7 linked regions of the Tribolium castaneum genome follow. The protein of the gene in region 3 purifies or fractionates together with the protein of the main gene of each other region. This does not show direct contact. Links are inferred from orthologs where the notes say so. Each region holds a gene or a part of one and is shown on either strand. Other genes may lie near its edges.

What was found.
Region 1: the proteins of Polr1C (region 3) and Polr3H purify together in Homo sapiens (affinity purification with mass spectrometry; 5 studies listed by BioGRID and IntAct, counting the BioPlex papers as one, with this or other methods). This does not show direct contact. The link is inferred for Tribolium castaneum from reciprocal best matches to the Homo sapiens genes POLR1C and POLR3H.
Region 2: the proteins of Polr1C (region 3) and Polr3K purify together in Homo sapiens (affinity purification with mass spectrometry; 4 studies listed by BioGRID and IntAct, counting the BioPlex papers as one, with this or other methods). This does not show direct contact. The link is inferred for Tribolium castaneum from reciprocal best matches to the Homo sapiens genes POLR1C and POLR3K.
Region 4: the proteins of Polr1C (region 3) and Polr3C purify together in Homo sapiens (affinity purification with mass spectrometry; 5 studies listed by BioGRID and IntAct, counting the BioPlex papers as one, with this or other methods). This does not show direct contact. The link is inferred for Tribolium castaneum from reciprocal best matches to the Homo sapiens genes POLR1C and POLR3C.
Region 5: the proteins of Polr1C (region 3) and Polr1F purify together in Homo sapiens (affinity purification with mass spectrometry; 3 studies listed by BioGRID and IntAct, counting the BioPlex papers as one, with this or other methods). This does not show direct contact. The link is inferred for Tribolium castaneum from reciprocal best matches to the Homo sapiens genes POLR1C and POLR1F.
Region 6: the proteins of Polr1C (region 3) and Polr3I purify together in Homo sapiens (affinity purification with mass spectrometry; 5 studies listed by BioGRID and IntAct, counting the BioPlex papers as one, with this or other methods). This does not show direct contact. The link is inferred for Tribolium castaneum from reciprocal best matches to the Homo sapiens genes POLR1C and CRCP.
Region 7: the proteins of Polr1C (region 3) and Polr3F purify together in Homo sapiens (affinity purification with mass spectrometry; 4 studies listed by BioGRID and IntAct, counting the BioPlex papers as one, with this or other methods). This does not show direct contact. The link is inferred for Tribolium castaneum from reciprocal best matches to the Homo sapiens genes POLR1C and POLR3F.

What each region holds. Positions count from the first base shown.
Region 1 is NC_087394.1:25,644,048-25,648,745, reverse strand, and holds the start of Polr3H (DNA-directed RNA polymerase III subunit RPC8), read right to left. Parts: upstream 3,072-4,698; 5' UTR 2,978-3,071; coding exon 2,867-2,977; intron 2,821-2,866; coding exon 2,637-2,820; intron 2,590-2,636; coding exon 2,336-2,589; intron 2,281-2,335; coding exon 2,230-2,280; 3' UTR 2,229-2,229; intron 2,188-2,228; exon of another isoform or gene 1,906-2,187; coding exon of another isoform or gene 1,757-1,905; intron 1,705-1,756; coding exon of another isoform or gene 1,556-1,704; intron 1-1,555. Other genes in the region: F-box/LRR-repeat protein 16, read left to right, coding at 1,556-1,704, 1,757-1,905; putative ATP-dependent RNA helicase TDRD12, read left to right, coding at 3,376-3,719, 3,770-4,154, 4,555-4,698.
Region 2 is NC_087403.1:7,844,462-7,847,543, forward strand, and holds Polr3K (DNA-directed RNA polymerase III subunit RPC10), read left to right. Parts: upstream 1-1,564; 5' UTR 1,565-1,649; coding exon 1,650-1,790; intron 1,791-1,841; coding exon 1,842-2,027; 3' UTR 2,028-2,030; downstream 2,031-3,082. Other genes in the region: Tcs1 (threonylcarbamoyl-AMP synthase), read left to right, coding at 2,031-2,732; Plekhm1 (pleckstrin homology domain-containing family M member 1), read left to right, coding at 2,725-3,042. UniProt on the Homo sapiens protein: Core component of RNA polymerase III (Pol III) which synthesizes small non-coding RNAs using the four ribonucleoside triphosphates as substrates. Can mediate Pol I proofreading of the nascent RNA transcript.
Region 3 is NC_087396.1:18,340,894-18,344,496, reverse strand, and holds Polr1C (DNA-directed RNA polymerases I and III subunit RPAC1), read right to left. Parts: upstream 2,107-3,603; 5' UTR 1,995-2,106; coding exon 1,932-1,994; intron 1,883-1,931; coding exon 1,582-1,882; intron 1,535-1,581; coding exon 1,415-1,534; intron 1,370-1,414; coding exon 956-1,369; intron 907-955; coding exon 797-906; 3' UTR 716-796; downstream 1-715. Other genes in the region: proteasome activator complex subunit 4, read left to right, coding at 1-193, 243-452, 499-633; N-acetylneuraminate lyase A, read left to right, coding at 2,114-2,365, 2,412-2,751, 2,800-2,945, 2,991-3,159, 3,207-3,352, 3,398-3,569. UniProt on the Homo sapiens protein: DNA-dependent RNA polymerase catalyzes the transcription of DNA into RNA using the four ribonucleoside triphosphates as substrates.
Region 4 is NC_087402.1:6,496,441-6,501,198, reverse strand, and holds the start of Polr3C (DNA-directed RNA polymerase III subunit RPC3), read right to left. Parts: upstream 3,139-4,758; 5' UTR 1,904-3,138; coding exon 1,757-1,903; intron 1,706-1,756; coding exon 979-1,705; intron 925-978; coding exon 413-924; intron 1-412. UniProt on the Homo sapiens protein: DNA-dependent RNA polymerase catalyzes the transcription of DNA into RNA using the four ribonucleoside triphosphates as substrates.
Region 5 is NC_087394.1:6,583,458-6,587,622, reverse strand, and holds Polr1F (DNA-directed RNA polymerase I subunit RPA43), read right to left. Parts: upstream 2,791-4,165; 5' UTR 2,542-2,790; intron 2,491-2,541; 5' UTR 2,438-2,490; coding exon 2,250-2,437; intron 2,198-2,249; coding exon 1,868-2,197; intron 1,365-1,867; coding exon 1,192-1,364; intron 1,140-1,191; coding exon 1,018-1,139; 3' UTR 978-1,017; downstream 1-977. Other genes in the region: nitric oxide synthase-interacting protein homolog, read left to right, coding at 464-651, 705-813, 867-938. UniProt on the Homo sapiens protein: Component of RNA polymerase I (Pol I), a DNA-dependent RNA polymerase which synthesizes ribosomal RNA precursors using the four ribonucleoside triphosphates as substrates.
Region 6 is NC_087399.1:3,366,593-3,369,889, reverse strand, and holds Polr3I (DNA-directed RNA polymerase III subunit RPC9), read right to left. Parts: upstream 1,515-3,297; 5' UTR 1,414-1,514; coding exon 1,406-1,413; intron 1,354-1,405; coding exon 1,242-1,353; intron 1,185-1,241; coding exon 1,032-1,184; intron 987-1,031; coding exon 861-986; 3' UTR 765-860; downstream 1-764. Other genes in the region: DENR (density-regulated protein homolog), read left to right, coding at 70-165, 212-473, 523-662, 719-763; ATP synthase mitochondrial F1 complex assembly factor 1, read left to right, coding at 1,515-2,351. UniProt on the Homo sapiens protein: DNA-dependent RNA polymerase catalyzes the transcription of DNA into RNA using the four ribonucleoside triphosphates as substrates.
Region 7 is NC_087396.1:20,821,095-20,824,485, forward strand, and holds Polr3F (DNA-directed RNA polymerase III subunit RPC6), read right to left. Parts: upstream 1,741-3,391; coding exon 1,571-1,740; intron 1,521-1,570; coding exon 785-1,520; 3' UTR 769-784; downstream 1-768. Other genes in the region: Acf (bromodomain adjacent to zinc finger domain protein 1A), read right to left, coding at 1-150, 286-398; mRpL40 (large ribosomal subunit protein mL40), read left to right, coding at 1,829-1,863, 1,912-1,989, 2,034-2,403, 2,446-2,559; Alg12 (dol-P-Man:Man(7)GlcNAc(2)-PP-Dol alpha-1,6-mannosyltransferase), read left to right, coding at 2,896-3,021, 3,064-3,196, 3,244-3,391. UniProt on the Homo sapiens protein: DNA-dependent RNA polymerase catalyzes the transcription of DNA into RNA using the four ribonucleoside triphosphates as substrates.

The sequences.
Region 1 (4,698 bases), on a different chromosome or scaffold from region 3:
AACTTAAATTCAAATTTCCACAGCCTGATGAGATATCATTTAATTTGAAAGAGTATATATTTTTTAATTTGTTTTCCTTAGCAACGGTATCGATTATTGCTCTTTTGTTTTCTAGGTTATTGAATTTAATTTATTGTTGAAATTACAAGTTTTTAATTGTTTTGCACATCATTATACATTAATTGTTGTTTTTTTTAATTTGTATTTGTTTAATGTTGCAAGAGCTCGCTAACGAAAGTCAAAAAGTATGATATGAAACAAAAATTAACTTAAAAATTTAAGTTTGAAGACCTAAATCTCGTGAAAGAGGGTTCAAACAATTTTTTGTCATAGGAACTTTTAATTCAGCACCCAAGAAATTGTACGGTACTTTTGAATCACCGTGTATAGAATTCAATTTCACTATTTTTTTATTTTTTTAATTCAGCTTGTAAGCATTTTAGCATTTCAGTCTCTTAATACGAGTATATTGATTTTTTATTTTAGACTGTGTGTTTCAATTATTAGTGTTTCTCATTTTCAGTATCTTCTACTTTCTAGGGAAAAATGCTAGTTGCAGACTAAATTACTTTTTAATGTTGTAATGTTTAAAGTAGTGTAATTTTTTTTTATAAAAAATAGATACAGTGAGTTCATTTTTTGGTTGAAAGAAATTCTTACAGAAAACGAACCAATTTTACACCAGCAAATTTAAAACAATATTTAAGTTAAACGATTAATTAACTTCTTTTTTTATCCCCTTAATTAAACGCTCGAATTTACTTCTCGAGTTTAAATCTTTACGGAGATAAAATACATCTAAGACCCTTATACAATAAATAACAATTTTTTTCAACAAGAAAATTTTTTACAAAAGATATTTCGTTTTGTTTGTTTTTGTAATAGAATGTTTTACAATAAAAAATATGTTTTTATTATTCCTGATGTAGGAATTAAAAAAATATATCGGAAAATACCAGATTTTAACACGTAATTTCTGTTTTTCCAATATTTTTTGCTTCCTAATTAAAGTAAGTTTTAACCTCATAAAACTCCAATCTGTATTAATTAATTATTTCTTAAGCATTTTAAGATGTTATTTTGTGCAAAAAATCCTAAAAGTAATTTTTCCCAATTTTTTATTTTTTAATTTTTAATTAAAAAATATTTAAATACATGCTGCGGTGGTAGATTAAGCTTATTATCAATTTTTTGTCCAAAACCTTGTTTCAGGATAACACTATAAATAATAAAATTTCCATTAGTTTATGTTTATTTTTACTGATATTACTGATATTAATTACTAGTATTAATTACTATTAATACTGATCTTAATATTTTTATAAATAACTCTATAAGGGAGGGTAAAAAATTCTGAAAAAATTCACTTGTGTGGAAAAAAACATTAAATATAAAGCAACACACCGTGATTCCTATGCGATTATTAGTTTTTGAGATATAGTAAAAAATACTTTTAGCAGAAACACTTGCATTGTGTTTAATGTATTTTTTAAAGTTGCAATAACTGGTGGCCACTGATCAAAACGCAATCCGCTTTATTCGCTTTATTTCACAGATGTGTTCACATCACCGACATTGGCATTGGTTACATTTCAACAATGTTGTCTCTATCTGCACTCTATCTGCGCTGGTGTTCACAAATTCGAGACTTTGGACTTCAGCATTTATGCGGAATGAGAAATTTGCAAATACTATCGTTAGCAGGTCTGCCACATACCACAAATAATGACATAAATAACTGAATTCGAAATTTCAGGGTGTCCATTATTGACTTCTAGTGGTTTATCAAGTCTGATTCAGTTACGACATATGAGAGAATTAGAATTAACAAATTGTCCAGGGGCATCAAAAGAACTTTTCGATTATTTGAGAGAACATCTTCCGCGTTGCCTCGTTATAGAATAAGTGAACCACTTGTCCACTTGTTATATTTGATACTAGATTGTGCAATAACACTCGATTATTTTACACACGGCTTTCTTGACCAATCACAAATTGACAGAAAAATAACAACAGATGGCGCCACACAATGTGTTACTGATCAAGAAAGCTGTGATTTTACGGTTTAATTCGGTATCGTTCGTCACCTTGTCTCGTGTTTGATTCGACTTTTCCCTAGTTTTAATTTAGTTAATGTGGTGTAAATAATGAGAATATGTTTCGCAAGTAAATCAGAATGATATTTTACACACGTTCATACTTTATATCCCTTCCATAAAATTAATTACCTTAATTATCCCACCAAGACAACAATCCCAAACCTGGCTCATTTATGCTCCCCTGTGACAAACAAATAATTTTAATCAAGTCATACAAACCCAAGTTTTTTTCTTACAGTTAAACTATACGGCACTTTATTTTCGGACTTGTCTTGTGTTTCTTGTAAACTACCAGTGGGGCAAGTCTCATTAAAAAACTCCGCAGTTACGCGAAATTTGATCGTTTCACCAGCATCCATGAAAAGGTCATGTTTGCACCCGTCTCCTGTGTCATACTCCCACACCCATGCTTGTTCAGTTTCGTTAAACTTTGAAGGGTGCTGAAGGGCACTGGGAGGGATCAAAATATCGTCAAAGAAACCAAGAGTCACTAAAATTCGCAATCATATTTAACATTTCACAATATAATTGTCGTACCGTGAACCCCTTCCTGACTGCAACTCCTGATTTTCCCCACGAGAATCTCCTCAATAAAGGGGCGAAAAACGATGTACCTGAAGCTGACTCTAGTGTGTGAAGCCCCATCACCGGGAAATATAAACGATTCTTGGAGACTGGTAATGTCGTATAAAGCTATACACAAACCAACGTTGAGGACTACCTTAAACTGGGGGTTAAAAGGGGCTGAAATGTGCTTCTAATCTCACCTTGTTTGCTAGTTTTTTGTTTAATTCTCCGGCTATGGCGTCGTTTAGTTTCAAGTTGAACAGTTCGGGGGGTATTCGGGTCACATTTTTCATTTCAGCCACTATAAACATCGTTTAACAATTGTTAAACTTGTTAACAGCTTCGTGAAATTTTGAGGTTGTGTTGCACAGGACGCGCCGAAAACACATGGAATAGTGGTACCAATCTATAAACCCAAATAAACTAACGTATTTTCCAGAGTTTTTAAAATTAATTTCGCAAAGTTATTACAATAAGAAACCCGAATTTGGTAACAATTTACCGTGGGATTAGTTATGCAACTGTTTCAGTAATTGTTTTAAAGCCGAAATTCCGAAAATTACTTTTTGGAGACTATTCATATTTGCAACAGGTTGCATCATTCAAATTTGGAAGTCCCTAGAATTAAATAATTTTTGTTGTGTTTTGTTGTGGTGTGTTTTTGTGAATTTGCACACGTTTTTGCCCTACTTAAGGCCTTTCAGTCGCAATGGCCACCAGGGAGAAAGACCCTTTCGACAGCGACGAGCAAAAACACTCCGATAGTGATGGAGCCCCAAAGCAGACTTTTGAGCCCGAAATCGACAATCCAGAGATGTTCATGAAACCGGCGTGTGAGTGCCAGAACTGCGTCCATTGGACCCAAAGCGCCGACTGGACAACGCCGGATTTGGAGTTCGAGGGGCACCACAAACGTGTTTGCAAAGAGCGGAAGATTCAACCCTTGTTACGATCGGCACGACATCCAGGGAAAACCCCTAAGATCTTCACTTTCAATCCTGGCACATTGACAAAAATTGAGAAACAAAGCTACTTGAAGACCCTAGTTCACGGGTACTTTGCGCCACTTTAGACCAATTAAAATTATTGAAAAATAATTTCAGGGAGGTGATCCCCCAGCCTGTAAAGTTGCTAACAGACACCTACTTTAGCGACGAAATTCAAGCTGCTTTGGGTCGCCTTAACTACAAGTATAGTTTACCAATCCAATCATTCGTCTGGCCCGCAATTTTCAGACAATTGAATGTTGTTATGGTAGGGGGGCCTAAGTCGGGGAAAACCATGTCGTATCTCCCGGCCCTTTGTACCTTCAGTACAGCTGAAGAGGAAAAATATCGACAATTATCAAAGTACAAGGGCCCGTTAGTGGTTATTATTTGTCCAAACAGCAAACATTGTGAAGATGTATACGATTTGATGAAAAAACTGTTTGAAAATAGTGCCACTAAACCAAAAATTGCCCTCATGACATATCCAGTCCACCACATTGTAAGTCACACAGCTTGCCCTTCACGTAGCTGGTCGCATTGTGTGGGGCCATCTGTTGGTTTCCACTGACAAATTCTCTTGTAACCATAGTTACAGCAGATAACCATGGCAATAACACGAATGCGACCAATCGTGTGAAGGGAAACATATCATGAGATCATTAGAATTTATAACCAGAGTGGGCTTATTAGTTTTTTAACTTATATGAAAACGCCGATTATCATAATTAATCAAGCCGAAGAGTCAAGTAATAATACTGTTTCGAACGGTAATACTCAGTTAAAATAGATTTTTCCTTCAGTTTGCACCAGCTTAACAATCACAAAGAAAAAAACACCTACTCTTTTTATAAATTCAAATGATCGCGCTTGACTATTTTTTAGTCATTTGTTATTTTCAGAACAGCGTTGATATCGTGATTACAATCCCCAGCACTCTTACACATTGCCTTAAATCTCGGACTTTTAATTTGAAACGAATGTGTCACTTGGTGTTAGAAGACGCGAGTTGTTTACTAAAAAACAATCACGAAGAAATTTACAAA
Region 2 (3,082 bases), on a different chromosome or scaffold from region 3:
TGTGAGTTAGAATATGATCATTGATCAATGATCAAACATCAAAAAGGAACGACTGTATTGAGTATTTCAACTGTAATAAGAAATCTTCTACATATCGCTTCTGTAGTGTCAAAAATTAGTTTTTGTATTTTTTTTAAATGAGGCTTATTTCTCCCTGAATTATCAATACAAGGATGGATTAATTCGTGGTCTCTTATAGAGAGCAATTTTTTTGAAGAGTTACCGGAATCGACCCATAAGGATGGGATAAAGACTTCGGAACACCGATTGACCAAGTGCACATAACTAGAAGGAGGTTATAGTGAAAAGTAAAGCAAAAAATGTTTGGCCAAATTATTATTTTCTATGTGAGGCCACGACTTAATCATCCCACCCTCGTAGAATAGAATAATAGAAGGGCAAAGAAAATTTAAATGTACTCATGTTGGTAAATTATTATTAATGAAGTTTATAAAGGATCAAAAATACATAACAAACGAAGAAAAACAAAATATAAATAATATAAAAAATATAAATATAATATAAAAATAAATTGCCGTAGTAGGGTGCTATTTGAAAAAAAAATCGAAAACTAAAAGGAATTAAAAAAATATTTTTAAAGTAGTTGATAATGTAATAATTAGTTTTTCTTAAAGTACATAGTTTAGGCACATAACAATTAGCTTCATACTTTTGCCAAACGATGTATGTTATTTTGTAGGTATTTCCCCTAACATAATTCATAAAGCTTAATTTCCTTTCTCGTTTGTTATTAAATTTTGCTAAAAATAAGTCAAAATCCAAGTGGAGTAATAATTATTACTAGATATATTTTTCTTAAAAAAAAAATGCATACTTGATGTTGCATGTCCATCTGATGACCCTCTGTCGCTTCAACTTTAAAAAATAAAAAACATCCATGTTTATGGTGTTTTTGAAATAGCTAAAATGATGTCTATTTCAAAATTTACTTAAGTAATAACAAAGAAAGAAAAAAAAATATTATAAACTTCTCTATTTAAATTTTTATAAAACGTATGACCTGAAATTTGTTTAGGAAGGGCTTCGCCCTGTGGGGCCCTACGCTGGCTACGGCCCTTGTAAATTATCCTAATGATTTTGAACCAATTACCATAGTGTTTATTTTTTTTGTCAGGAAAATTGAAAAAATTATATTGAATTCTCATTTAGCGAGAGAGATAAAAATCAAAACCTTTAAAACGAAATTAACAAAATGAACCAAGTGCTCAATACCACCGAGTTTAGTATAGGCAACCCATAAAACACAACGTTTTTAATTATTTTTCTTTGTAATTCTTATAATTTTTTTATTACTTAGTTAAGTAATGTGGTATAGGAAAATGTTTGAACCATATTATTTTAAATTAAATTAATCATTGTAAAATTGTCCTTGTTTATTTTAATTGAAAATATGTCTTATTTAATTCGACTATATAAAAAGCGGAGCAAATTAGTGAAGTAATTAGTTGACAAAATAACTAAGGCCGTAAGTGGCTGAATATTTGTTATAATTTATAATTTAAATAAAATAGAATACGAATTTTGTGTTGGTGCCCTCGCCCCAGCGCTGCCAACCCACCGTGCGCTGTCATTGTCAATTTTTGACACATGTGAATTCAAGTTGAATTTCATCATAATAATCACGGGTCATGGTTGTGTTTTGTCCTTTCTGTGGAAATTTGCTATTCGCTCAACAGACCTGCGGCCGATTAGGTTTTGCGTGTCGCATCTGCCCCGTGTCATTCCCCATTCGTGGAAAAATCTCGAATCGCACGTACTTCCAAGTGAAGGTAAAACCCAAATAACCCACTATCATTGTTCCAACTCCGTCACGCTTTCAGTCCGTTGATGACGTGCTCGGCGGCGAAGACGCCTGGAAAAACTGCGACGTAACAGCGGAAACGTGTCCAGAATGCAGCCACCCCCACGCCTACTTCCTCCAGGTCCAGACCCGCTCTGCTGACGAGCCCATGACCAACTTCTACCGCTGCTGCAACCCCGAATGCGCCCACAACTGGCGAGAGTAGGCGATGCGTTTTTTCGCCCCCCTTTTCAAAAAACTCTCCCCGAAGCGGGCTTCTATGGCATTGCACGTCCCCATCAGGGACCCACATGCTGAGGCTTTAGCCGTTGATTTGTTAAAGTCGGGCCGCGTGATCGCCCTCCCTACGGACACCGTCTACGGACTTGCCTGTGACGCGACGAACATAACCTCAATTAACAAACTCTATAGCATTAAGGGGCGCAACGAAGCCAAACCTGTGGCGATCTGTCTCGGGGACGTCCCCCAGGTGAAGGCTTGGGCCAAAATCGGGCACTTGCCCCAAGGTTTGCTCGAAAGTCTGCTCCCAGGCCCAGTGACTGTCATTCTGACTAGTGCAAGCACACTTGATAAGTCACTCAGTTTTAACGCTAAAGTGGGGATTCGAATCCCCGATTATCACTTTATTCGGGCTTTGGCCCGCGGTTTGGGACGCCCTTTGGCCCTCACAAGTGCCAATTTAAGCAACGAGCCAAGTTCGTTAACAATCAACGAATTTCAAGACTTGTGGGCTCAGGTTGGTGCAGTTTTTGACGGTGGTAATTTAGGACTTGACGATTCGAGACGACGTGCGTCCACCGTTATTGACTTATCAGAATGCGGTTTGTTCACAATCGTGCGACACGGTATTGCGGTTGATAAAACTGTTGCGATTTTGCACAAGTTCGGGTTAATTAACAAACATGAATAAGTTGTTTAAAAGTGTGCACACGTCGAGTAATAAAGACAATTTAATTAAGAAGTCGATCACGGATCACTTGTCGAATAGTGTGAAAGCGATACAGTATTGCGGAGTTGAAGAAAATGGACTCAATAAAGCTGAGGATGTTACCGAAGCTTCGAACACGCTGTGTATGACGATTGAAGCTATTTTTCTGCACGGTTTGAAGGACTCCTTGAGTAAAAGGTTCAAAAGGGCCATTGCAGATGTTGACGAACGGCCAGAGCCCAGCTTCTGGGCCCCCTTACTTGTCATATCACATCGACAAATCATAGACCAGGTAACAAAGGATTTAGCATTTTTTCCAATTCTCAAAAACT
Region 3 (3,603 bases):
AACCGAATTCATGTCCGGTTTTGTATTCCACAATATGCCCACGATTATTTCGAAAAAGGAGTGGGTACTAGATATACAACACATGGTGCTAGAACTACTCGAAGATGTTCAACCTGAAGTTAGAGTTAGTGCTAGTCAAGTTTTAAGCGGTCTTTTGCACTGCCAATTTATTCCAAACCCTCAAGAATTATTAGTAATTATTCGGGTTCTTAGTTTATCGTTAAATAATTCGTGAATTCTAGGCGCAATTTAAACAGAAAGCGAAAACTAAATTGAAGAAGAAAAATTTGAACAATTCAAACAGTTTGAATCTTAGTACTTTAAGATTTAGACATGCTGGAGTTTTGGGCTTGTGTGCTTTTATCAATAGCCATCCATACGACGTACCTGACTTTTTACCGGATGTTTTTGGACAATTAGGACCCCATTTGAACGACCCCCAACCCATTCCTGTGAGTCACACTTTCGTCGTTTAAAAAAATAATTAATAATTTTTAGGCAACAATTCGCAAAACCTTGGGAGATTTCAAGCGAACGCATCACGAAAACTGGGAAATCCACAAACTCAAATTTACTGAGGAAGAACTGTTAGTTTTAAGTGATCTCACAGTGCCTCCCAGTTATTACGCCTAGGCAATAATTTTCCGATTCCAGTCAATTTACAATTTAATTTTTTACTAGACAATAGGTGAAGGAAGGTTTAAGGTAGCAAAAATTTACGCGTCAAATGTTTTTTATTTTTAACCTTGTTCATTATATTTTTTGTGGTTTGATAAAAGTATATTAAGTGAAATGTTTATACATGACTTAATTCATCTAATAAAGCAAGACATTTGTCTTTTAATATTTTAACAGCTTCCATGAATATCACATCAGGTGGTAAAGCCCCCACAGATTCGACCGTAACTAAATTACAATTAATAAAAACTGAAAAAGTAAATAAAAAAAAACTTACAAATGAAATGATCCTGAATTTTGGTCATCGCTACTGCGTCCTTGAGGTCTTCATAACGGAAAACATTCCGACTTCCTGTATCATACCTCGCATTAGCTACAACAGCGTATTTGCGGCCTTTTTCATGTCGGATTGAAATCACACCGGGAGAGAAACATTTTTGGAGTCTCTCAGCTGCTTCACCTTCCACTTCTCGTAATAATTTTATGTCGGGAAGAAGGCGATAAAATGCGGTTGCGACAGGAGAAAATTTCGCATGGTCTCGCCCGTTGCTCTTGACTGCTAATAATTTTAAATCTAACTCATGGCCTGGCCTCATTTTGGCAATGAGAATGTCAGGGTGGATGGGGCCCACGTCACTAAACCGCTCCTTCTGTTTACCAATGGGCACCCATTTGATGTGTTTTGAATACACTAAAATTATTGCAATTTTTATTGTTTCTCAAACGGGGTAATTACCATTATTGTTTTTGTACATATCTTCAGCTCGCAGTGAGTCTTTACTGCTGTCTTTATTATTGGTACATTTAATTTTTAACGCAAACTCTAGAGTATCCTGTTCGGTACCTTCAGCAGTTGCTGTAAAAATATTGTAACGTTTGGAACGGCAACATTACAAGACTTACGATCAGTTTTCATTTCAAATAATCGGGGGTCGGCCTTTAGCGGTATCAGGCCTAAACGATGGGCCAAAACTTCGTCTTGGATTATAGACGTGTTATTAAGAATGTGAACCTTTTCAATGGCCATTGTGGGGACATCACTCAACATTAACCTTCTGAAAGTGTTTGCTAGGAACGGGTGAATCCCTATCAAGTCAAATTCGAGTTCATTCTCTTCACTTCGCACAATCACCACCCTAAATCTCTTCTTAAAGGTTTTCAAGTCCCATTTCTCGTCCAAAACAGTTGGTTCCGAGGGCAAATTCTTCAAAGGATGTTTGAAGGAATTTAATACAAAATAATAAAGGACATACCTGCGTCACTTTATATTCTCCTAAAATCACTCGAGGCTTTTCGTCATTCAGAATATTATCCATTTTAAACTTGTTTCAAAAACTTGGATAACCTCAAACAACGCACGTTTTTCGTAAAAATGACTACCAACCTTACCGTCCTTACCACCCAAAAGCCACTTAAAATGTCAGCTTTTTAGGTTATGTTTTGTGAAAAATATAAACAATTTTTGAAAAATATGACGAAACCCGAATGCTCCAAACAGGAAGCTTCAAACACGAAAAGCAAGGCTGAAAAAGACTCACAAATAAGCACACCTGAAACGGCTAAGGCTCTGTTTGCCGATTTTGTGCCAGAAGAGTCAGACAGCGAAGAAGAAAATGAGAAACAAGACGACAAAAAAGACGAAAATCTTGAACCAGCGTCAAAGAAATCACGAGACAGTAACTCGAAGGTAAGTCACCAGTACACCAAATGAAAAACCAACCACCTTCCCGCAGAAATACATACCAAAGTACAAAAAAGAATGGGAGAATAAACCCGAATTGAAAGCATGGTTATCAGAGAGCATACATGGAAATACGTATTTCTACTGCAAATTCTGTAAAAAGGATTACAGATGCGGGATTTCCGACATTCACAAACACATGTCGTCAAAGAAACATGCCCTCAAAGCGGCAATGCCTGCATTCAAGGCACAGAAATTTAAATTTCGGGGGCTTTTGTGCCCCGTCTTTACCCCATTTACTAACTTAAAAAGAGTGACACCTGATGTAAACCTTAAGGCTATACCAAAATACGCAAATTTTTTAAAAGCTTGCAATATTAAAGGAATTTTAAGTATTTCGCAACTCTAGAAAATGAATTAAATTAAATGGTCAATTTTAGTTAATGACATAACCGGGGAAGGAATGTCCTTAACCATTCATGAAAGAATAGATTTGGCGGACGCGTGGGCTGACGCTTGTGAAAAAACAAATCAGTTTTTGATGGCACAAATCGGGGGAGCCCCCCTCAAAGACGTTATAGAAATGGTAGTTTAAACATTTGTTAAAACTGTTAATATTTTTCATTTGTAGGCAAAACACGCCGCTAAGAGGGACATCGGCGCTGTTGTAATCCTCCCCGACCTTTACAACAAACCAAAAAACCACCTAGACCTAATCAAGTACATAAAATTAATATCAGAATTTACAAAAAACGTCCCCATTCTCTATCACCACAATCCCAAGTTTACGCAAGTTGAAAGTAAGCGTTTCGAACGATGAACAAGACACGAAAAAATTCATTTTTAGTTGATATTACGTCGTTTCTGCTGGATATAACGGGAGAAGTGGATTCGTTTGTAGGCGTCATTTATAGCACGAATGATATACAACAGAGCACCGCTGCTATGGCGGTAAATAGGGAAAAGTTTACCGTTTTTATGGGCACCGACGAAGTAGGGGCTTTATGGCCATATCTCCCACTTAATTTCCACTTTTAGGCAATTTTGGGGGCTGCTGCGAGCGGTTTTACGTGTATTATGGGCACAAGTCTGAACTTTTTACCAAAACTGGTTGAATCCATTTGTGTGGCTGTGCGAGAAGGGGAGATAAAAAGCGCCCAAACGTCACAGAATTTACTCAACAGGACGATAGATGTGATTGCGAAACAAGGTAAAAGAATAGTCCGCTTAACGTGGTTTAATAT
Region 4 (4,758 bases), on a different chromosome or scaffold from region 3:
AAAGTAGTAGCCCCTCTTCTAATTAATAAAAAAAATTGATTTTTTTTTCTTAAATACTATAAATTATCTTCAGTTGAACTTATGTTTTCACACAGCGTTTATATTTATTTTTTACCTAACAATTACTATTTTCACCCAGCATTTAATTTATTCCAAAAAATTACTGGTAGCAGATGTTAAGTAAACCATATGAAAATGAATGATTTTCTGGCTTTCATAATCGTCAAAAAATAATCAATTGAAAGAGTACTTAAAATAATATTACTAAAGATTATATAAATTTAACAATGTGAGCTCCTATACAGACATGTGCGGACAGATATTTTGTCGGTTATTTATCCGCAATAATATTGTTCGGACAAATGTGCAGACGGCTAACCACGGCCAAAATATAAAAATAAGAAAAACTTACGTCAGATAATTGCTCGTCTGCCGCCCCCTGTGCCCTCATCCCCATAATAATCGTGTCAACACGTTGTTTCTTATCGATAATTCTCTTATGAACCAACCTTTCGTGATTTTTTCTAGTCATAATATTAAATAAAGTTTTATAACACAATTCTAGAGTCATTCGCACGATTTGGTCCAAGTTTGTATAAAACAAAGTGAAGCTTTTATTAGGACCATTACTGGTCGATTTTTTCAAATCCTGGACTTGCAAAAAATTCTCTTCCAGGAGCTGATAAGAGAGCCGTTTTGCTTCTTTAGCCGGAATCATTGCCAGTTGTTGAATCTGATCCGGTTCTATGTATTGTTTCGACTTAACAAGACGGAAAATCCGGGCGGCTTTAGTATCGAATTTTTCCAAAACTATCTGTTCCACAGTCTCCCATGCAAATTGAGTGAACGTCTCTTTCAGAAAAATTTGAAAAGAACCGCCACCTGCCTCTCCCGACTGTCTAATTAATTTAGAACTGTCTTGCTCTAAAAAAAAATATTTGGACTGGCAACAACTTTGACTAACGACTAATGACTAACCCAAGACATTAACGTATTGGTCAAAAAACGCCAAAAGGTGTTGATGAGTGGCTTGTTTCCTTACAAGGTCCCGAATTTCAACAATAGGGACTGGATTCGAGACCTCAGCCCAAGGCTGTGTCCTAATGTACATTTGTTGTAGCAAAAGTCTGACAAATTCACCCGCGTTTTCGTCAAACTTTTTAATAAAAGCATTCACAATTAATTTGTCTCTCATGTCTTGATGAAACCTATCGAAGTTAACAGTCCAGTAAACGCCCTGGTCAGGGAGAGAATCCACTGGTGCTTTATTGCTCTGAACTAAGGCAATTTGTTTAAAATCAATTGTCGGAGGTGCAAACTGTTCCGTCTCTTTTATCACTAAACTAGGAACAGGTTTATCTTCCATACTATACGGCAACCGTATCAAATATTGCGCGGCCAACAATGAAAAAAATTTTTCTCTTAAAGCTAAAATTGTCACGTTTTTGTTATGATCTTTTTTCAGTCTCTCAATCACTTTCAGGATTAATTCAGACGCCGTCCAGTAGCTCCGCTGTAGCAATTCTTCCATAATTAATTCACACTCAGTCCCAAATTTCTTTTTAATTAAATTAATGTATTTGGCGTAGCGCAACATTAATAAAACACGCTCATGTTGCAGTGTATAATTTGCAACGTTTTCATTGCGATTGGGGGTGAACGTGACCAATCTGTACTTTATTAAAATACATAAAGCTTCCTTGACCTACAATTAATAAAATAAGGGGCAAAAAGTGCACAGTTTCATTTAAAATACCTTAGATATGGGCAAATCTGTGTGCTTTTTGATGTACAGAAGGGGCACAGTTCCGTACTGAAACAAGTAAGTGCCCACCTTCTCGACCACGGGGCCGAAACGTTCGAGTAAAATAAGGGAAACTACCCTTCCGTATTGAATCGACATCGGGATCAAATAAAAAATATTGCAATGTGATTACTTAGAAAAAATTAGGTTAGGCTGCTTGTCAAAATGTAGAAATACAGGTTTCTTTGTTACCGGGAAAATAATCAGTGGTCCGTGGGTTTTAATTTAATTTAATTAGGAACTAATTTATTGTTTCTTAGTGCAAAGCAACCTAATTCGAATTACTTTAAGTTGGAATTAAAAGTTTCATTTGCTTCGTCTAGGCCATACACTTGTTATATATTTGGTTGCATAAGCAGTTTTTGAATCCTGAATAATAAACTTTTTTTATTGTTAAATATGCAAACGCTTGCCTAAATACATTTTTAAATCGGCAATCGAATTGATTTATTGTTAAAAAACCTGCCACAAGTCCATTAACTGATGTAAATTATTGGCAATAAATAATCCTAATTACATACAGGCATCGGGCCTTCAATTCAGTTTTGAAATTTTTCAATAATAATTTTGTAATTGAGTCTCGTGAAAAATTCATTAGGCATAGGCGCTAAGAAGGTGTAACCTCCATATGCAATTTTTAAATTGTTTACAAATAAGTTTATTAAAAATTTATAAGCAGAAGGTGATGATGAGGTGCGATTTATAGAAACAGATGCGTCGTCGGCTTGTGGGTTTACGAATCCATATTTATGAGATTGTTCATAATTCAATTAATTACAAATTATTCATATAATTTATGTCGTTTTGACTTTACCATTGTGCAACTCCGATGATGGTTTACTTATAAATTGTACTTGCAACTCGACTTTACTACTTTATTAAAAAAAACACGTGGACTTGTAGGTGGCTTAAATCACGACTACTCAAAACACAAATCCGCTTATTAAAAAATAAAGTAAATAAAATTTGAATAAACAAATTTAAGGTCACACATGTGAATAATTGCACAAAATGTTGGCTCCGCCACACCCTCAAATCGTTACTACAAAAAAGTCATAAACAAATGACATCAATTCAATTAGTAAATCAATATAAAAGTAGCAAGTCACGTAAAATAATCCAGAAAAAAATTTAATATCAAGTTTTTTAACCCAGTCATATACAGCAGGTCCATAAATTATTGCCTAAGTAGATGTGACAGGAAGGGGAGCTAGACGGCTTGGTAACAAAAACTGCACGCATGACAAATGATACCGGTCGATTTAAACCGAATTCCTTCATGCCATGAATAAACCGGCAGTGATTCTCAAAACCCACCACAAAAGAAGATTTAACATATTTTAACTCATTAAAAAAATATGAAACTGTGGTGGCTCCTAAACCTGAATATTTTACCCAAAGTAGCCTAAGACTTGAAATTAAGTTGGCAACGTTGACACGAAATTGAAGAGCCCAATGTTGCCAATTTAATTCGATCGTCGTAGGCCACTTGATGACAATGGCATTCTGATATGATCTGCGCCGCCCCCAAACTTAATTTAAATGTTTATTGAAGCATAAGTCGCCTGAAGAAAATATCATCGATCGCCTCGGAAGCTGCAGCAGCCTATGGAAAAGCTTACCTACTCCCACTCTCTTTTTGTGCTTTATCCTCCCGTGTATTCGATAGCGAAAGCGTGCTGTAGAAACAACTGAACATCGCTCACACAGCGTGTCTAGTCGCCGGTGGATTGTGATGTTCTAAATTTTCTCGTCTCGCCGTCTAGATCCTGTCAGAAATTTTAAAATTTCGACGTTTCATGTGACAGTGACAGCATCTAATGAATTAAAGTCACAGTGAATTTTATTTTACGAGCAAAAAATAATGAAATAACTAGAGTCGGTCTAAAGTGTCGTCTACCTGTACGAGGGGTAAGTGGGATTTTCTCTACTTAAATTATTTACCTAGAAGTCTAATGCCTGGCGAGTGGTTTTAATTAAATTTATAGTCCTGCATTTCTAAAAACCATAAAGATATAAAAGTGTCCTCGGTGAGTTATTGCTTGATAAAGACACTTTAATGAGTTGAAAAGTTAAGTAATATTTAAAATAAATTACTTTAATGTCTGTCATTAAACAATTTTCATTCCTCAAATTTCTGGTGCATTTTTCTGTACAAGTTAATTATGTTGTTCAAACCATACCGGTTACGTGTAGGGGAAATAGTAATTAAGCTCTCCAACCCCTTGACATCACGCCCTCGTCTGTATTGTCTAGACCTGAAGTTATTAGAACTAGTTGTTAACAAACCAAAAATATCTTCAAATCACGATAAACTGTCTTTTTCTTAAAAAAAACCTTATCTTTTTGGAATTAACTGATACCAATGTTTGCCCAAAAATATGGCTAAACAATCAAATGCCAGTTCCCTAAGTAAGGACTACATTTACTTTTAAACCAACATTTGCATACTGTAATTATAATAATTTAAATAATAATGATTAATCTGTCTATTAACTGGAGATTAAACTGTCTGGGCTTGTTTATTTATCTCCTGACACCTTTGAAATTAATGTATTGTTACATAATTAATTTGTTTAACAAGGAAAAATAGTCATTATTTTTTCTTTATAGTCGGATTATATGTTCTGTTGCTTTAATTAAACGAACAAATTGTATAATAATCGGCGAGAAATGAAGTTGTGTATAAACTTTTACAATGGCAATTGCTGATAAAATGTTTGAATGCAATTTCAGATAAATATTTGATTCTAACACACCTATTTCATAATATCTGATAATTGATAAACTACTGTTTCCGTTTTTGAAAAAAATAAATTCCTGAGAACTGAACAAATAATTGATTTTGAAAAGAGCGACCCCTATTCAGGCAAATACTAATTAGTCATAAGTGTAGGTAATATCTTATTTTTCGCAAAATTCTCGAGAAAAAATGTTTGTAAATAAAATGCGAA
Region 5 (4,165 bases), on a different chromosome or scaffold from region 3:
TCATATGAAAATGTACCAAATTTGTTTTCGCTCAAGAACAGAACACAAAAAATGAATAAGTCGCCAAAAAATAATTATTTATCTAAAACCTGGCCAAAGACAAAATTTTGGGAAGACCAATAATAATGGCTAAGAACTTTCGACATAAATAAGTACAAAATTTAGCCAAAAGTGTTTCTGTTTTTGTTTGTGAGGTTGCACCAAAAATGATACTGATGGCCGCAAAATTATCAAATTAAATAAAAAATCACGTTGTTATAGTGTTTTAGTACAAATTATTTCGCAAAATTTCTTTAAAAATAAGACGAAAAAAATCACAGAAATTGGCCGGAGAGGAGTTATTTTTGTGCTAAAAACTTGTAATTTTTTCAGCGCGGGGTCTGGTTATTATTTTTTTTTGGTTAAAAAATGTTATGACCGACTAAACATATTTCCCTCAAAAGTAATTACTTTGTTTGTTAAGGACAATGTGGTATTGTGCCCCATTTCGGGGAAACCCCTCAAAGTAAAAGACTTAATTGACGTCAAATTCACTCCAATCAAGGATTCAGGCGACAAAAAATCCTTAATTGCGAAAGAATGTCGTTACATGTGTGCTGTAACACACGATGTTTTAAGTAACTCAGTTCCCTGTGCTGTTCTCAAACCAACGTAAGTTAATAACTTATTAACAACACTAAATAAAAAAATGACCGTACTTTTAGGGGTGACGTTGTTACGCTAGAATGTGTGGAGAAAATTATAAAAAAAGATTGGATACATCCGCTCACTAGCAAAAAATTGACAGAAAAAGACATCATTGTAATGCAGAGGGTAAAACAGTAACACTTCAATTTGTAACAAAAGTAATGCGGTTTTTATTATAGGGGGGTACAGGCTATGCCCAAACTAATGTGGAACTGGAAGCCAAGCAAGAACGCCCAGCTCTTCAAGCCTGAATTATTTAAAAAAAATTGAGGCATTTACAAAGAAAAGAATTGTGTTTTATATTTTATTTCATGTATTTGTGGAACAATTTTATGAAGAATCCTCTTGTACATGTTTTTTCTTTTTCTTTTTGATTGGTGGTTCAATATCTTCGTCAACTTCCGCCTTACGTTTAGTTTTTTTCTTACTCTTCTTTAAACTTATCTCAGGTTCTGAAATTAGTTGTCAAGAAGTTGTAAGAATTTTTTTTAATAAAAAATTTACCTTCTTTTATTAATGTGTCAAAATTAAGACTCTCGTCATTGAACGACTCATCAAAAATAATTTTTTTCGCTTTCTTCTTACTACTTTTTGTCACTGTCTCATCAAGGTTTTCTTCAAAAACTATTTTATTGTTCGACTCGTTTAATACGTTTGGAGTCGCGTCCAAAACATTGCTACAATTAATTGAATTAAGTTTTGTCTACAGGGTGAGTCTGTTATAAAGTATATTTGTTACTACATCTCAAAAACTAGTCCCACAGAATTCAGCGTTTGCTAGTAAATACTTTATATTTTTTTCTGTGCTTGTGATTTTTTTCAGAATTTTTCTACAATTCCGTACAATTAAAATCAATAAATAAATTAACTAAGCACTACTAATTATCTACATTTTTTTTATTTCCTGTGTCACCTGAAAACAAGCGATGGTTAATTAAATGTTGCTGAAAAAACTGTAACTAACCCCCAAAAAAAATAATTAAGTAAAAATAAAAAATTCAATTATTCGTATAAGAAAGGGTAAACAAATTCTGAAAAAGAAACACATGTATAGAAAAAAATATAAAGTATTTAATAATTTAATAACGCTGACTTTTGGGCGACTATTACTTTTTAAAATATGGTGAGAAATACTTTTAGCAGACTCACTATGTAGTTGTATGATGAAAAATAAACTTACATAATTCTACCTTTAATGTAAGGCAATTTTCCCTCGAAATTTGTTGACGTGATTTCTAGTTGTATTCTACTGCCAGGGTTCAAATTTTCGCCCAACCACTCATGTTTCTTGGGCTTTGGCAAAGACACATTAAAAATTTTATGTACCAGACAACCAACATGATCTTTAGTCTTTTTGTGTACGACACCTTCCAGTATTTTACCTTCCACAGGCTTAAAAATGAAGAATTCGGCCTCAATATCGGCGTGAATGTAGCAAGAATCATCACAGATTTTTCCTGCTTTTGACAACAATTTTGTATTTTTGTAACCACACAGAATCCCATCTAATCTACAAATAAATTATTAAAACTATTGGCAAAACTTTCATTTTTACCCAAAACCTGGCACTAAACTTCCCTATCCTTGAATTGAGGATCTCCTTAACTGAATTATTTAAATCGTTCAAGTGGTAAGGGTGGAGGGCTATGTGTTCCTGGAGGGTAAGTAATTCCACACACGAATTCTTATCCTCAACTAACGAGTTTAATTCGTTTAAATTAAAAGTTTTTAATAATTTTTGTTTTTTCATTTTCGGGGGGCCCACGTGTGGGTATGATAACCTCACTTAATTTTTTTGGAAACCTAACAAATGTGTTATAGTGCAAAAAATGACAAAAATATTAAATGACTTACGTGAAATCACAAACCCACCATTTATTAATATTAATTAGGCCACAAATCCACGATAATATATCACCTCAAGTCACAAAAAATGTGAGGTTACGTAAAATAATTAACCGGTTTTTTACACTTTTATTAATGGTTCTTATCTACTATAGTACACTTATGTAATTATACATGGCAATTGTATTTACTCCATGACCTTTTTTTGAATGTGTTAAAAAATTCTTTTTTTGATTTTTGATTCTGGTGCGCGCTTTCGACCCAATGTGCATTTGATACTCTCTTCTTGTTTCGTGTATTTGGAACCCAGACACTTTTTTGTGTCCTAGTGTTAGTCCTTACGTTCAATTAAAAGAAAACTTGTAGGAATTTGGTGTGTTTTTATATTTTTCAAAAACTCAAAAAAAAAGACTCAAAAACCATAGGATTCTAAGCGCACAGTTTAGTGACTTTCAATTTTTCCAACTCTGTGTCAGTCGTACCAATTATTTCAGGTGTTGACATTTTACGTGTTGTCTCGTTTCAAAAGTGGTAAAGGGCTTGTACAAAGTTAAATACAGTTGATAAATGTTTTAAAACTGTGTGAAATGGATTAATAAACGTAATTATTACAAGGAAACCTCTAAACCGGTGAGTTGTAGATATTATACTGTGATATCAACTCGTTAATAAGTTGGTGGTTCAAGTGGGATATGTTGCTTATTTTTTGTTTTTTAACAGAGATTAACAAAATTATTGCAAGAAATGATGCCAGATTAGTGAGGGATTAATTTTAAAGTTTTTGTTCTAGAGACAAAAACATAAATTTGTGGAACTGGATTCAGTGTTAGTGTTATTGTTTACTGCATGTTGATAGATTTAGTTGATTTCATATTACTTTTTATCTTACTACATCTGTTGTGTTATTTTTGTATGGATTAGAACCACCCAGACTCCGGAATAGATAATAATAATGACTAGATAAGTTGATATCACACAAGTACTTATCTGTTATTTCTAGTGTTTGTGCTAGTGATTGCTAATTATTTCAAGTTTTCCTTATTTATTTTTGTGTTTTTCAAAAATATACAGCTTTTATTGCATCATCTTACAGATAAAAGAACTCGTGAGAAAAATGAGTTTTTTTGATCATATTTCATGTTTCTGGTAAAGTAGTAATAAAACCGATTAAAAAACTTTAGGGACATGTAAGAAGCTAGAAAGGCATCTTAATGTAGTAATAGTAGTATGCCATAAAAATTATTATTATGATGTCATACTTTTTTGTGACACTATGTATAAACAAAAATATTTTTTTGAAATCCTAGAGTATAAATTGTTAAATAATAACTGAGCCACCGAAGATGGAAGCTGGGCTGGACCACCTGTACAGGGTGCTACAGACTTTAAATTTTAAGAAGTTTGAAAAAAAATTGTAAACACTCTGTAGTAATTCAGATCAATCAAACTCAGTTAATAAGCCTGTTAGGCCTTATTTAAGACGTACGTGATAATAATGTCATCAAAAAAGCACTGTTTCTATTTTTTACTAATTTTTAAAAAATAAAGGTGTAAAACCGATTTTTTTGTTTTTTTTTTAACAGCAATCCCTAAACTGAACTAAAAAAACCTTTGAGGACACGAAGAAGCGAAA
Region 6 (3,297 bases), on a different chromosome or scaffold from region 3:
CAAGATCTACACGACCGTGTCTATTTTGGGGTTAGGTTTGTTTCTCAAAAATTTCATTTTTTGGCCATAATGTCGGTGGAAGAGAAGCTCCAGATGGGCCCCAGAACGGGGGTGACGTACCCCTTGCAAGTGATCTACTGTGGCAACTGTTCGATGCCGATTGAGGTTAGTTGTCGCCCCTTCAGACCTTCCGAACTAATTCTTGCCCCAGTATTGCGAGTATTACCCCGAGTATGACAAATGCAAACAATGGCTCGAGCGTAACTTGCCCGATGAGTTCGAAAAAGTGAAAATCGGGGACGAGGCGGGCGAGGGAGGTGGCGCTGAAGAGGAAAAAAAGCGTCAGAAACGTGGGGGTAAAGGCATGATCAAGACGAAGAAGAAGGAGGACGGGCCGAAGCAGGTGTGTGTGTCGAGGGCCCCCCGCGGCAAGAAGAAGTCGGTTACCGTGGTTACGGGGCTTAGTGGGTTTGGTAGGGGGGTTAGGGGGCCCTGAGTGTCTTGTTTGACGCGTTTTTGTAGATATTGATCTGAAAGTTGCGGCGAAATTTTTCGGGACCAGGTTTGCGTGTGGGTCTTCAGTCACAGGTGAGGACGAAATTGTGATCCAGGGGGACGTCAAGGACGATTTGTTTGATGTGATTCCCGAAAAATGGCCAGAGGTACCACACTGACCGAAAAAAGTCACTAGTTATAGGGGCACTTGTTTTTGTTGCAGATTGATGAGGACTTGATTGAGGATTTGGGTGACCAAAAGCGATAACTTATCATAAATTCGTGTATTTATACTTATTCTCAATACATTATGTCGTTTTTCACGCCAGTGTTTTATTATTTACTATCCTAATACAATCACAAAATTATTCCTGCTCCTCTGTTGTTTCGTTTTCTTGGCTTTTTTGGATGTGGGGGAAGTGCTGAAGCACGATCTGTAAAATTTGCTCAACTTGTTCTTCCGTGAGCCTTTCTTCACTTTCTTCAATCATCTAGAAAACACACTTAGAAATAGTCAAATTTTGCGTAAGACCAACCAATTGAATCTCTAAAGCCGTCGTAGGGGGCGAATTAATCAGCATTAATTTCTCATTTTTGTTCAAATTAAACGGCTCCAAGTCCTTCAAACACTCAGTAATTGACTGTGGGCTTTGTTGGGCACAAGGAGTATTTTCCAAGTAACGCAAAGTCTACGAAAAAATTGATGAATGAAAGTCGGCCCATTTACGGCCACTTAATCTAATCACCTCATACGTAATCGTCGCTAATTGCCCCTTGTGTTTTTTCCGGCTGTCCTTAATCCGTTGTAGGTGTTTCATAACCTCGAAATTACTCAAAGTCGCGCTGTTTGCATTAACACTGAAAACACGCCTTAATAATACGTTACTCAAACGTAGCAACTTAGTCTTACATTTCCATCGCATTTAATAATAAAATTAAGAGTGCAAATTGCTTTATTTTTATAATTTTTGAACCACAAATTGGTGACAAATCCAAAAAACCCTAAACTTGTCACAAGTATGGCCAGGCTTCCTAACCTAGCTTTTTTGCGATATTTTTCAAAATACTCCTGTAAATTCGTAAGAGGTCTGATGACGACCCAATCGCGGTGCGAAAAGGCCTTGGACGAGCTTTCCAAAAATGCCTACTACGAGAAATACGCGGACAAAATCGCCAAACTACAAAAAACCTCCCCCCAGGAGTTCCTCTCCCGAATGGACGAACTCAAGAAGGCCAAAGCCCCGAAAAAGAAGCCCGAAACGATCACTGAAGGCAAGTTCTCGCAACTATTAAACCCGAAAAAACCGCTCGGTTCTGTGGAGGCCTCGGAGGCCCCCTTAGACAAAGTCATGAAACTTGACTTAATTAAGGATAAAACCCCGGAGGAAATTAAGGAGATTTGGCACCAGTACCACATACAGAAGAACTACATTGCGGCGGTTGTCCCTGTGGAAGATTACAACGAACTGGAGGCAAGGGGGCGCCAATACCCTACGTTTCTCTTCGCCTTGCCTCGCAAAGAGGGTTACGAGTTTATAATGTCGCAGTTTGAGCGAAACTGCGTCCACTTTACCCCCCTTTTGTACTATCAGGTGCACAAGGAGAACGCCCCCGAGTGCCTCACAATGACGCACTACACCGAACTAAAGGACGAGAAAAAAATCGTCTTGATGCGAGGAGAGTACGACAAGAATGTTATTGATTTGAAGGAGGCCCAGTGTCTCGCAAATCAGTTGCAATTGTATTACGTAAGGCCCACAGAAGCACACTTGGAACTGATGGAGCGGTTCACCAAGCGCCCCGACGAGTTCAAACACATGGACTTGATCAAACAAATCGAGACTTTGTCTTTGTAAATATGTATTATTTAATTCCTAATTGTAAATAAAGTTTGAGTGACATAACCTTACTTTTTGAGTTTTATTTCACCCAATTATTTTCTTGTCCCCAATGTTGATACATAAAGTCGATCATAACATAGCAAATGGCACTATGAGTATGAAATTGAGCGTTTTTTCTTGAATTTTACTGCGAAAATATGACATAACCTAATTTTTTGTTGGGCGAAAATTGGACCAATTTCAAATATTATGATAACTCAAAGGTCCTGTATAAAATGCGATTGTGCGAAATTGCCCAAATGATAGAAATTTTGCCGATTTTTATATTTTATTACCGCTTTTCACTATTTACGTACCAACCTACCAAATCCAAAATTTATCATAACTTGATTTTTTTAAATTTTTATCACTTATTTCACTATTTTCCAACACAAAAGTGCGTTATATTAACTTGAGTTACGTTAAAAAATCGAAAATAACAGTAAGGTGGTACAGTTCACGAACTACGGGTCTGTATTTTCTGACAGGCGTACCAACGCACCCAAATTCAAATCCAAATAAAACGCCATTTTACTTAAAATAATTTATTGAAATTAGGCACTTGATTGAGCTTAGAACCTCTCTTTCGGCTTCCTGAACACTTTCCCGTGCTGCGTATCCTCCAAGCAGGGGATTTGCACTAAATTAAAATAAATGGTCCCCATAATGTGCGCCGTGGGCGAGGGATTTTCCTTGAGACACGAATACAGCTGATCGTCGCACAAACAATGCGATTTCGTGTATAACGAATCATTCGTTATGTTATATCTTTGTGAAAAAGCCCTAACTTTAACGGGACACAAATCGTGCGCTCTGCAGCACTTATCAACGGTGGGCTCGGCCCCCAGGTCGTAGTAGTCCTTGGCGATGTCGCCCGTGCCGCACCACTTCGTCCCTGAAATTGACTGTGTTGGGAAAATTG
Region 7 (3,391 bases), about 2.5 Mb from region 3:
GGTATTTTGAGCTCAGCTGGGAACTCTTTGAGGCTTTTCCTCGCGTTTTCCTCGCTTTCCAGCGCCTCGGCATACGTTAAATTCGGTTTTCCCGTCATCGCACATGTCCAAATCATCGAATTGCACAGGAACATCCTCTCGGAGAAGTCCCTGAAAAGCCAAGCGTTGAATCGATTCCGATCTCCGATTGCGTTAAATTTGAGGTCGATGGCGTAGGTACAGTGGACCGTTAGGTCAAGCGTTTGAAAGCAACCACGTTCCAAATAACCCGCCGCAAAAACTCACTCGTAATCCCGGAAAATCTCGTTGGTGGCCCCACAGTAGAAAACTTCCTCGTCATCGCGGATATCCTCCGGGACCGGCGCTTTTTCGAAGGGCTTTCTCCTCAAAAGAGGCATCGCAATTTGGAGGGAAAACTCACGACTCCACAACAAGTCTAATCAGAATTGCTCCCACATTTACAACACACACAACGCAACACTGATGGATTAGCAACCAAATCTGACATGAAATGGCGAGATTCAAAGCGAACTAACCGAAAATTTCCGCAATAAAATTGCGTTTCTCACACCATTCATGACAAACAGACAACCTCTTCGGCTTCGGGGCTCCGGCGCATGCGCGGAGCGCAGGTGACTGCCAAAAGCTGTGCCCAAGAACGGACATTTAAAAAACCTGCGACCACCAAAATGTTCCACACTTTTTTGTGGTTATGTTCCCCCACAAACATAACCTTAATTAATTAATACGGGATAAAAAAAACACCAGTTTGTTGCGAAACACTTTATTCGAGCCATTCCGTGAAATAATTACAAACTTTCGGGTTAATAAAACCGGTATCGGCGCACCTGCTGGCTATGGGGCAAACCCCACAAGTGGTTGTCACAATGCCAGGTGTTTGCATAAATTTATTGACCGCTCGGTACAAAAACGAGCCGTTCGTGGCCACAATCCGCTCCGCGTTATTATCCAAAACAACAGTATACAAAATGCTCTCAATATCGTCCACTGACAGCGAAATTTTACTAATCCCCAGCTCGGAAATAAATTTGTGGACGTCTTGCGCCGTGGCGTAGCTCCGGTTTCGGGCCAGGAGCGGGCCGCCCCCCATGCTGTTCGCATCCTCCCACTTCTGGCGCAAATACCGGCAGCACTGTTGGCTCAAAACGTCCACAAACTCCGACTCGAAGTCCTGGTCCTGGTACCAGGCGCCCCCCGTGACCGAACTGTCGGCCTCCAAGTCGTACAACATGTACACTTTTTTCTTACTGGCCGAGACTGACTTTACGGCTTTGATTATTTTTTTCGTCTCGAGACTTTTGAGGACTTTGTTTAGTTGCGTCATGTTGAGGTTGGACTTGAAGCGAATGTCTCGAATCCAAATGCCCTTGTTGCCAGCCTCTTCGATTATCTTAAACACGACTTTTTCCTCGTTGTCGGCCCCCCGAATGGCGGGCTTCTTCGACGAGTCTTTGTATTTGTAGAGGAGCTTGTCTTTGGTCTTGAACAACTCCAAGGAACTGAAAATTTTGGTTAGGAATAGAATTAGGGGGTGATTGCGCCCACGAACCCATTTTTTAAACACTTGTTGATTATCAGGGCGAGTTCTTCGAGGGGTAAATTAGGAATTGCCTGTTTTATGTTCTCGTTTGAAATCCCCTCAGGCTTGGCCTTGGCTAATTCCAGTAAACGGTCTTCGTTACTTATCTCTTCGCTGTTTGAACTCGTAGCTTGGCTCATTTTTGGGGTTATGTGAGGTTATGTTCTAACCTCAAAATTTTGGCCTATTTCTATTTTTGCCGATTTTTTTTAGGAAAAAAGGCAAGAAATGAGCGCCTGGTCTTTGATAAACACATTTAATAGGTGTGGTATAAGTTTGGAGTAATTGGCACTAACTGTGACATTTTTTAGGCTAGCCCTCCAGTCGTGCCCAAGACGGGGAATTGCAACGAGTGTCTTTCTCAATTTTAGGGCAACACCATGTCTCATGTAAGTAATAACGAAACGAGGCCCCCAATTCACCAATTATCTAGGGCCGAGCCTTTGAAGAAGAAGAAAAAACTAGACCCTGCAGTTATTAAAGCACGAGAAGACCGCAAGAAGAAGAAAATTGAGAAGCAAATCCGGCGATTGGAGAAGCACGCGCGCCAGTTCAAACCTATCGAAGAGTGTGAAGTGCCCCTCACTCTGTTAGATGAGAAAAAATCAAGGATGAGGTCTTTGCCTGCACTTTCTGACAGTGAATTGGAACAAAGAGCACTTTTGGACAAACAATGGGCCACTTATCGGAAAAATGAGCATCTTACGGACGTCCAAATGCTGGACCGGATTTTCTTTGCGCAACAAAAAGCCTTGGATGAGCTGCGGAAAGAGTCGGAGGAGTTGTATCAGGAAGCAATGCAGGTGACTGGGGCTTTTTTTCGCAAAATATATTTTTTTGTCCAGATTGATTTCAGATTATTGCCCTTTAAGAGCGAGGGGCCTTTGGAAACGCCAGCTATCGACAATTACGAAAGCCCGGACGGTGATTATGCCGATGTTTCGAAAAAATGGGAATGAAAAGGAAATAAATAAAGTAGGATAATAATAAATAGACAAAATTTGTTTTATTCACACTTCAAAATCACTTCAAATTCACACTTTTTATTATTGTTTACGTAACAAATTACGTGTCCGACCGTTTCAAAATAATAAAAATTGCCCCTATTGTTGGTAATTTGATGGTAAAATTGTCTCAAGGCGCCCTAAACCCCAAACCCAGCACAATGATCCCAGTTCCGGACCGAAGAGATAAAATAAATTTAGCTTATTTACGTCAGCTCATTTGAAATTGTAGGTTAGGTGAATCTATTTTCGTCCAAAATTCAAGAATGTAGATAAAAATTAGCCCCCGAAATGGTGCAAATAATGCTAATTATCGCCGCCGCCCATTTGGTATACTGCCCATTTACCAAAGTGGAGGAAAGCTTCAATTTACAGGCCATGCACGATATTTTGTACCACAAGTGGAACCTGTCTCAGGTAGGCGCCCCTTGTCTCGCCCACAAATAACTGTGTTTCTAGTACGACCATTTGGAGTTCCCCGGAGTGGTGCCGCGGACGTTCATCGGCCCCTTGTTCATTTCGATTTTGGTGGCCCCCATAGTCTCGCTTTTGCAGTTGTTCGAAATTAACAAATTTTGGGCGCAATATATCGGTAATCAAGTTGAAAAATAGTACAAAAATTGTGATTTTTTATTACAGTGCGGTTTGCTTTGGGGGGCTGCGTTATCGCCGCTTTCCACGTCCTGTCCCGCACTTTGGCCAAGATTTTCGGGCCGAAGTGGCAGCTGTGGTTCATGGCAGTGACGGTGACCCAGAGCCACTTTATGTTTTACTTGAGCCGGCCCTT